Saccharomyces cerevisiae S288C: one gene and its partner. Changing the gene in region 1 together with any one later gene gives a genetic interaction. Each region holds a gene or a part of one and is shown on either strand. Other genes may lie near its edges. The genes, in order: MRS2 and ALR1.

Region 1 (3,914 bases):
AGATTGGCTGAACAGTTTGCTGCTGATTTGGATGCTGCAGACAAGCTGCCGTTCTCTCCAATCAAAGAAAAGAAGTTGAAGGAACTTGGTGTCAAACTTGGTCAACTTTCAATTTCTGTTATCACAAAAAATGAACTGAAGCAGAAATTTAACAAAATTGAAAAAGCAGTGAAGGATGAAGTTAAGTCAAGGGCCAAAAAAGAAAACAAACAAACTCTTGATGAAGTGAAGACATTTTTCGAAACCAATGAGAATGCTCCATACCTAGTTAAATTCATTGATATTTCTCCAAATGCTAAAGCTATCACTGAAGCGATCAACTACATGAAATCCAATGATTCTGTCAAAGACAAGTCAATCTATTTATTGGCAGGTAATGACCCTGAAGGTCGTGTTGCTCACGGTTGTTACATCTCCAATGCTGCTTTAGCCAAGGGTATTGATGGTTCTGCGCTTGCCAAAAAGGTGTCCAGTATCATCGGCGGTAAGGCTGGTGGTAAAGGTAATGTTTTCCAAGGTATGGGTGATAAACCAGCCGCTATAAAGGATGCAGTTGATGATTTGGAAAGTTTGTTCAAGGAGAAGCTTTCCATTTAAGAAGTTAAAATAAAACGAAAAATAATGCATAGGAGTTCTTTTTGTTTATTTTGCTCTTAATAAAAAAGTGTCATTGTATAATTAGTCTTAGTTTAATTATTTATGTTTTTACAAGGACAAAAGATTTGCTGTTAAAAAGAGTTTTAAATACCCTTTTTTCTTACATATGTATATATACAGGTTTATGCTAATAATATTGTATAGTTTATCATGATAATCGCCTTTCAATTTTTCTTGTCTTCTATCAACCATTTCCAAATCATATCTCTGTTCTGCTTGTTCTTAATATCATTCTCCATGTTAAATTTCTTCACCTTTGAAAAACCTTTATTAATCTTATTATTCGACAGGTTAGCCTTATTAGTGTAGCTGCTGCCATAAAGTAGCACTCCCAACCGCTGCTTGGTTGATTTCCACCACTTCCGCCTTCGCTTTAGTTTATTTGTCAGGGCAATAGACGCTGATGTTTTAGGATACACACTGGAGTTTGCGGGTGAGTTTGGATACATGGTCATCTTTGTCACGGATCTTAAAGAATTAAAATTTTTCTTGGTGATATAAAGGGCAGAAACAATAGAAAATACCGCCACTGAAGTAAACCCCCATTCACTCTCCTCGATGAAATTCTTTAAATTCATACCATAGAATGCCGGCAGAACAGATGCTACTGTGAATCCCAACGTGTAGATGGTAACTTTCAACTCCAACAACATTAAGGAATTTCTATTTGCGTCCAATATGATGTTGACAATTTCTTCAGTAGATTTGATATCCTGAATCAAAGATTCTGATTGCTGAACGTATTCATCACATTGGGTGTAGTACGTCTCTATAAGCATTTCCAAGTCCGAAAAATTGTCCTTAGGAGACTTCTTAACTGTCAAGTACATGTTTGCTAAATCATCGTCGTTTTCTAATAGTTCATCTAATAGATCTCTAATCAATAAAGTTTTTTGGTAAAAAAGCGTAAGATCTTTGGACTTAATTAAAAGATGCCGCAGTTTAAGTCTATTGACCTCGTTTTCCAGATCATTTAAGATTTGAATACAGATTTGTGAGTGAAGCTTGAAATCTGTTTCCAGTGCGCTCATTACGTTGATGAAAATACTCTCGAGGGCTCTATGCTCGTAAAATTGAGAGTTATTCTTGGTGGAGGACAACTTAGACTCCAAGTCATACATAAGTACACTCAGTTTGGCAGCGGCGGAAGGGTTTGTTGTATCGAAGACGTAGACCTTATCTCGTTCGATAAGAGCTTTGATATGCAATAAGTTGATGACAATACAGTTTGGCTTACACATGATGGTTGGAATAATATCAATAGAGGAGTTATCTATTTTCCTCAGGTCTCTGGGGAAAAGGGAATGTTCAGTTAAAAAGGACCATTTAGGAAACTTCTCGGACATTGAGATAATATTTCCCTTAGAATTGAATACCGTACACGAAATGAACAGTGAATCAGAGGCAGAAATGGGCTTCAACGATAGTAACTGTTTCCGCAATATGGTGCTGTTGGTGTTTGCAGCAGTGGATGTGTCAGCATACTTTCTAAGAAATGGCGTGTTTGGTCTTCCAAAAGTTATTCTCGACAAAGGTTGGAAACAAGATATAGAACGTACCAGGAGACGCCGATTCATGAGATGCTTGATTGAAAATCACTTTCACTACGATTGCGTATACCGTTACTGTTAGCCTTGGTGCGATCTTGAGCCCTATTGTTCTATCATAATGCTGCAAAAAAAAAAAAAAAAAAAAAAAAGAAGAAAAAAAAAAAGAGACAAAAGACTGGACCACCACAGAGGAAAGAACAACATACAAAAAAAAATCTGTTAGGAGTGTATATGTAAGTATGTAGGTATACAAGCTGCTGGTCGATCAATCAAAGAACTTTCTTGTCTTGGAAGGACCATACAATTCCAATCTGATGGCGGGCAATGCCTCTTCACTTAACAATTTCAATCTTTCCTCCAAAGTGTTGTTAATTTCAATCTTGTCTGATGCATTGGAGACCACAACACCGCCGGAAACAAGGTCTTTGTTCAAGTAATCATTGGAGATAACAATCTCTTCCAATGGTGCGCGCTGGGCCTTTTCCCCATACTCACGCATAATGTCGTCCTTCATCGACTCGATTAAATCGACGTCTCTTTCAAGAGCCTTGACAATCGCCTTAGGTTCCAACAACTTCAAAAGTGCCTCCACGATCAATGATTGCAAAATGGGCTTGTACTCGTCCCGGTTGTTGGCAATTCCTGACAACTTTTCCTTGGTTTCCTCGAATATCCCGTCTAGCGACTGTTCACGAGCAGAAAGAACCTTCAACCTCATTTTGTTTGCTATCGTTGACTTAGTAATCTGTTGCGAAAGCATGGCCTTCTTCAACTTGCTCTTGAAGTTGCCGTCAATGTTGTTGGTTTCATTTCTTACGATGTTGGTCTTCTCGATTTCGTACTCTTGGTCAGCCTTCAATTGGATTTCCTTCGCTTTTTCTTCAGCTTCCTTTCTGATGAAAGCTTGCATCTTGTTCAATTCATCGTTCACTTGGTTTGGTGTCAAAGCAGTAATAGCGGAGGACATGCTGTATCGGATGGTGCGTGGCCTGTTCTGTGCCTCTTTTGTAAAACAGTTACAAACAACTTTTCTTGCAACTGCTATTGTTCTTTGCTGATATATAGCGTGAGTTCTTATCGAAATGGCCGCTTTCGCCCCTCTCCGTGGCGGGTGACCTCGGGCGCACTTTTAGCCGATACTCAGTAAACAACAATAGGTATGGACTACGAAAGAACGGTTCTAAAGAAGAGGTCGAGATGGGGATTATATGTAGTTGTTGAGCAACGAGGGACAAGTATGACGAAATTGATGGTTAGATCTGAATGCATGCTGCGAATGGTGCGGCGGCGGCCGCTGCGTGTGCAGTTTTGTGCTCGATGGTTCTCCACAAAGAAGAATACCGCAGAAGCACCCAGGATTAATCCTGTGGGGATACAGTATTTAGGTGAGTCTTTGCAAAGACAGGTATTTGGTAGTTGCGGTGGTAAAGATGAGGTGGAGCAAAGCGACAAACTTATGGAGTTATCGAAAAAGTCGCTAAAGGACCATGGGTTGTGGGGGAAGAAGACGCTCATCACGGATCCAATATCGTTTCCTCTGCCGCCACTACAAGGCAGGTCGCTAGATGAGCATTTCCAGAAGATTGGGCGTTTCAATTCTGAACCGTACAAGAGTTTTTGCGAGGACAAGTTCACGGAGATGGTGGCACGACCGGCGGAATGGCTGCGGAAGCCAGGCTGGGTTAAATACGTACCTGGAATGGCACC
Region 2 (5,381 bases), 870 kb from region 1:
CCTTTTCTTATACCACGAAAGGTGGGAATCTTGAAGGGGAAGCGAAATAAGCTAACATGATCATCTGCCTCCATGATGATGTGATTTTCTAATTGATCTTGTAGTTGGGGATAAAGAGTTCTGACCTTTAACTATATGCCCTATACTTGCCTTCTTTATGAAAGGGGCGCTGCACATTATTATTTCTGATTTAGTGAATAAGGTAGGGTAACAAATTCCAGAAGAGAATCGCAGTTCATTTTTACGAAAATGGTCATTAACAAAAGGTCAATAGTAGTATATATCAAGGTGAATGATCTTTAAATGAGGTTTTACTAATTTTCCTAGTTAAATATATATATTTCACTATCGAATGATTGACCGGATTGTACTATTTCTAAATAGGAAACGCCAAACTCAATAAACGAAAAAACATACAAAAAATGGGGTAAAAGATAATACTATTATCTTTGCCCAAGAGTGAAGAGTTAGAATACAGGTCCACTTGTTCTGGGTCTAACGTTCTTAAGCATGACATGGTCATGGAATGATTTTGGAAACTGCTGCCAAGGTCACGGCTAGATCACTAAAATTTAAGTGTAAAAAATGTGAAACGCCAAAATCGTAGATGCACGCCTCTGTGACTTAAATCTTCTATCTTTATCACATCACTAATCAGTCGTAGCGGCTATATCTACTAGGAAGACTTGCAACTGATTTGTTTGAAGGACCGGCTCTTACATTTATATTTTTGGAACGATCATTGAATCTCTTGTTTCTTTTTGGCAAGAAGCTCGAAATAACCGATTTGGCTCCACTTTCAGCGGCCTCGTTAAGTGTTGCAGGAGGGTCTATTCTTTTAATCCAATAGCTGGCCAAGAACCAACCAAGGACGGCCAGCAAAAGCAGCACACCCAATATCCCAAACCACCACGCGATACTGGAATTCTCCCCCGGAACTTTAACATTCATACCGAAAAGACCAGTGATAACATTTAATGGAACTAGCATTGTACCTATCATGGTGACTTTACCCAACATTTCTGTCACTTTATTATTAGAATTAAATGATTCCACTTGCAGTTGAGCTAAGTAGTTTGTATGGGATCTAGAAAAAATTTTTTCGTACGCCAGCAAATTTTGAAACATTGTCAACAAATGATCTTGAATATCACCCAAGTATAGGGCGATATCCCCCCTCGGTTGTGATGTGGTGGGCGCATAATTATTTGGTACAGTTGTCGAACTATTATTTTTGATATGACTGGCGTTATCCTGCCTTGCCTGTAAGTTAGCAATATTTATTTGAGATGTTAGTGCCGGTCCAATACCATTAGCTTCATCTTGGCATCTTTTGGCAAACATTTTGATAACATCAGCCTTACCACTAAGAAGTCTCATCAACGTCATTGTCTTACGCCTACTTTCACCAATTCTTTGTAACATTGCTGCAAAATCCATGTCACGAGCCATGAACACAGAATCTTCGATTGCATCTGCTTCATATTCAATAGATTGAATTACAGGAGCGAAACTATCAGTAATGTCATCGATTAAAGCATAACATAACCAATCTGAATTGACATTGACATAGTCACGTAACTGTCTTACACGCCTTCTGACATTAGCACAATGAGATATTGGGCCAAAATGGAATGTTAAAACACCTGACCTACAGACAACAATGTAAACGTTAATAGGTTCCAGGAAATCCTCTGATTCTTTATCATTTTCAAAGGTATGGAAACAAACGAAGTAATACGATTTGAAAAGTTCCACCTTTTCACGTGTTTCTTGCATTCTGATATCTTCTGCAGTCAATGGATGGATACCAAACGCCTTTGCTATGCAACGCATTTCATCATCAGTTGGACAACTACAATCTAACCACCATGTTGGCTCACCTCCCCTGAATAATTCATAGAATGTTTGTCCCTCAGACACTAAGGAAGGGATATCACTAGCATGAACGGTTTCATCAGATTCGGAACAGAAAAAAGAAAATCTATTAGGAATTTGAAAGTCTGTACCCTGGTAAGAGCAATACGCCGGGTCATTGGATGGAATGTTTTCATTCTCTTCCCCTTCAACTTTATTTTTACCGAAAGATATACCAGGGTGTAAACTAGGCTTGATTTTCTCATGCTCGTCTTCCTTCTTTTCATGGATTTCTGTTTCATTGGTACTCTCGCTCTTTTCACCAGTCTGCGAAACTCTTGGTGTATATTTTAGGGCAGCTGATGATCCCGAAGTGGAAGTAGAGCTGGTAAACCCGATATCCTGAGAAACGTTACTGTACTTCTGTTCGTTGGGCACTTGCAGACTTGCCAAAAATTGACTCTTCTCCGCGTTTGCAAACTGAGCGTACTCTTCCAGTTCATCGAAATCTATACCGTTAACTCTGGTATGCAATTGTGGTGGCATAGGGAAACAAACATCTTCTTCCGTCTCTTGAGAATCTCTCGACGCCTGTGATACGTCACTATCAAAAGAAGCTCTAGTATTCATACGTACTGGTTTTCTTTCCAATGTATCATCATCTGCATCCGATTTTTGGGATGTGCTTTTCGTCAGTAAAACTGCGGGATTGATAGATGAATGCGCAGATGTGGTAGAATATGTCCTCTTCTTGGGTTTAGCCAGCTTGGAGTGTGTATCAGATTTCGATTCGTGTGGGATCTCAAGAACAGGACTGACCAGCGAAGATTTTCTAACCTTCGTAATAGGACTTGCCGAGGAAGATGCGCTCAGCTTGGATTTGTTACCTGATGATGCAGTAGAAGATGACATAGTATAGTCTCTCTTTACACCTACATCCTTTGGTGGTGTGTGTATATTACTTTCCACATAAAGCTGCCTTTGATGTGGCATGGAGTGGGCTAGTCTGGAAGGCCTCGCGTTAGAAGTTAAAATGGCAGATGCCCTCAATTGATGATGAGCAACCGTTTCATCCATACCCTGCCCTTCATCTTCAAAATCCATGCGGCCCCTACTGGGTACGCTTCCCACATCCACATGGCTGTTGTATCTCGTTGCACTCTTCTGCTCCTTAGGAATAGAAGGTTTAGTGGACTTAGCAATTTCCTTGTTCTTCAATGTTGGAGGTTGGTGACGGACCGGCAGTGAGTCAGGGTGCTGCCTATGGTCGTACAATCCCGTATGGTCTTCTGTTTTCATGGAAACCATCGTGTTAGCCAGTGAGTTTGACCGCGATAAATTAGGCGATGACTCTGATGAACTTGAGGATGATGACATGGTAAAATGCTTTTACGCTTTCTAGCAATATTCGATGATCTTTGAGAAGAAGTAATGGTATCCTTTTGTTGAATTTATGTTCAACTAACAGTATACTTCCATGTAGAAATATTTTATATAATACCTGTCTCTTGTCAGGATGATATTTTTCTTGCTTATAGAAGGAAAAACTCAACTAATCAGGGCACTCTTTCTAATTTTGAGTCTATATTGAAGGATGGCCTTGCACACTACGTTTTCTACTGTTAAGTCAGTTTATCCAGAAAAAGAAAAGTGTTCATAGGATAGGAACGTACGTTATTATGCATAATTAGTTCGATGGACCATGTTCCAGAGAAAATTTTAATTTCAGATATCGTTTTTGTATCTCAAAGCGGACGGGCTGAGTAAAAACGTGCTTGCGATATTTGCAATTTTATGAGGAATAAAAAAGAAAAAAGGAGGGGTAGCATTTAGCATATTAAGGATCATTGAGTCCCATGTATTACGGCAATTAAATGAGTAGATGCTGCCAGAGTACTGAAATTTTTAGGCAATTTTTGGCTTTAGTTGTGTCTACCGCCAGTTGAATGGAGCTATAAAACAAGTCTAGGTGAACCTACGCTGACATTTTGAAATTAATCAATTAAAATCAGTTTTTGATACATGCGTTATGTAATCCTTAGCGTAGAAGACCCTACTTGTTTCCTATAGAGGAAAAGGTTGTATATTTTAGAGATTCGTCCATTCAAGGGGTTGCATATAGGGGGGACATACTATAACGGAAAATACTAGTTCAAAGCGTTGCCCTCGAAAAAGAGACGGAGGAGTACGTAGAACAATACATAAACACACAATATACCATCGGAGAACAACAAGTTGTTCCAAAAAAGCAGTCGTCCTAGAGTGAGGCTATCATAGCGTAGACGCCTAAATACTTAACACTCTCAAACAAAAGTTCATCTTACGCATTTCATAGCTTGGTCAAAGAGTTAATGAGATAAAATCTCAAAGATTAGTAGAAAAGTTAGGATCGGAACTATTTTGATTCGGTTCTAATTTCCTAGTATTGCGAATCTACCGTGTTCTCTTCATCCTCCCCCTGCGATGAGCTTGGTGGAACGGGAGGGGGTGAATCCAAACATTTAAAGCCTTGAATCAAGGGCACATGTTCTTCCTCCAGGTCAGGGCTAAATATTCTACACCTAGATCGCTCTAACTGTGATTGCGCGTCATTTATCTTTATCTCTGGAAATACCTTTGTTTCCATGCGAATCCGTTTGGCAACTTTACTGAGGTTGAACCTTAAGTTCCATACAGAATGTGCTAGTTCTGCTCTTTGCAAAACCTTATCTTGGACTTCGTCTTGTGCTATCTTATTAGTATTCATTCTCTGTCTATCTTATCTTCTACGACTACTACTGCCAGGTCTTTATCTAAATAAGAAGTGGCAAAAGGATACTTAAAAGCTCGGCGGCAAAAGTTTCTCGGCCACTAATTTACCCTAATGGACTCGTACTGTGCATATAAAACACATATCATACCGAGTAAAGAAGTCACCCCAAGAAGAACTTAACTGGAAATTCCTGCATAGCGTTATTTCAGAGAGTGTTATAGGCTCTGATTTTTATCACGTTTAGCAATAGCCATAGTCACTTTTTTAAATATGTATTTACTCTTTAAAAAGGGAGAACGACATTAAAGTCTAAAAAAATAAACTAAAAGTAAAAAAAAGCAAACACAACCCAAGAGGTAACAATGGGCCGGAAATAGAGGCAGAATTCCGGTGTTTTCGTTTTAAATCATCTTTGTCTTCATCTGCGTCTTCTTGTTCTTCTCCTTCCAGGTCTGCCAATGTCAGGCTTTGCCTAATTTCAATCTTTTTGGGCCCATTCCATCTGTCACCATGCTTGTCTAAAATCGTGACATTGGTGGACAGCTGATCCTCGTGAATATCTATGTATTTGCCTTTTTCAACTTTCACGCCTTTTTTTATCAAAGAACTTCCTAAATTTTTAGCAATTTTAGATTCAATCTTCAAATTTTCATAATCTTCCGCACATGATGGCGTCTCCTCCATCTGAACAGTTTCCTTTAAAGTCTTCATAGAAGGAAACTCAATGTTTTGGTAGTGCGATTTAAGCTTCTCAAAATCTGCTAAGAGCTGT

The links.
Region 2: of MRS2 (region 1) and ALR1, extra expression of one rescues a mutant of the other (dosage rescue), as found in Saccharomyces cerevisiae (one study listed by BioGRID).

What each region holds. Positions count from the first base shown.
Region 1 is NC_001147.6:942,916-946,829, reverse strand, and holds MRS2 (Mrs2p), read right to left. Parts: upstream 2,235-3,914; coding exon 822-2,234; downstream 1-821. Other genes in the region: ALA1 (alanine--tRNA ligase), read left to right, coding at 1-597; VMA4 (H(+)-transporting V1 sector ATPase subunit E), read right to left, coding at 2,473-3,174; DNA-directed DNA polymerase gamma MIP1, read left to right, coding at 3,445-3,914. UniProt on the Saccharomyces cerevisiae protein: High-conductance magnesium-selective channel that mediates the influx of magnesium into the mitochondrial matrix.
Region 2 is NC_001147.6:72,253-77,633, reverse strand, and holds ALR1 (Mg(2+) transporter ALR1), read right to left. Parts: upstream 3,235-5,381; coding exon 655-3,234; downstream 1-654. Other genes in the region: VPS68 (Vps68p), read right to left, coding at 1-74; YOL131W (uncharacterized protein), read right to left, coding at 4,277-4,603; GAS4 (1,3-beta-glucanosyltransferase), read right to left, coding at 4,919-5,381. UniProt on the Saccharomyces cerevisiae protein: Plasma membrane magnesium transporter.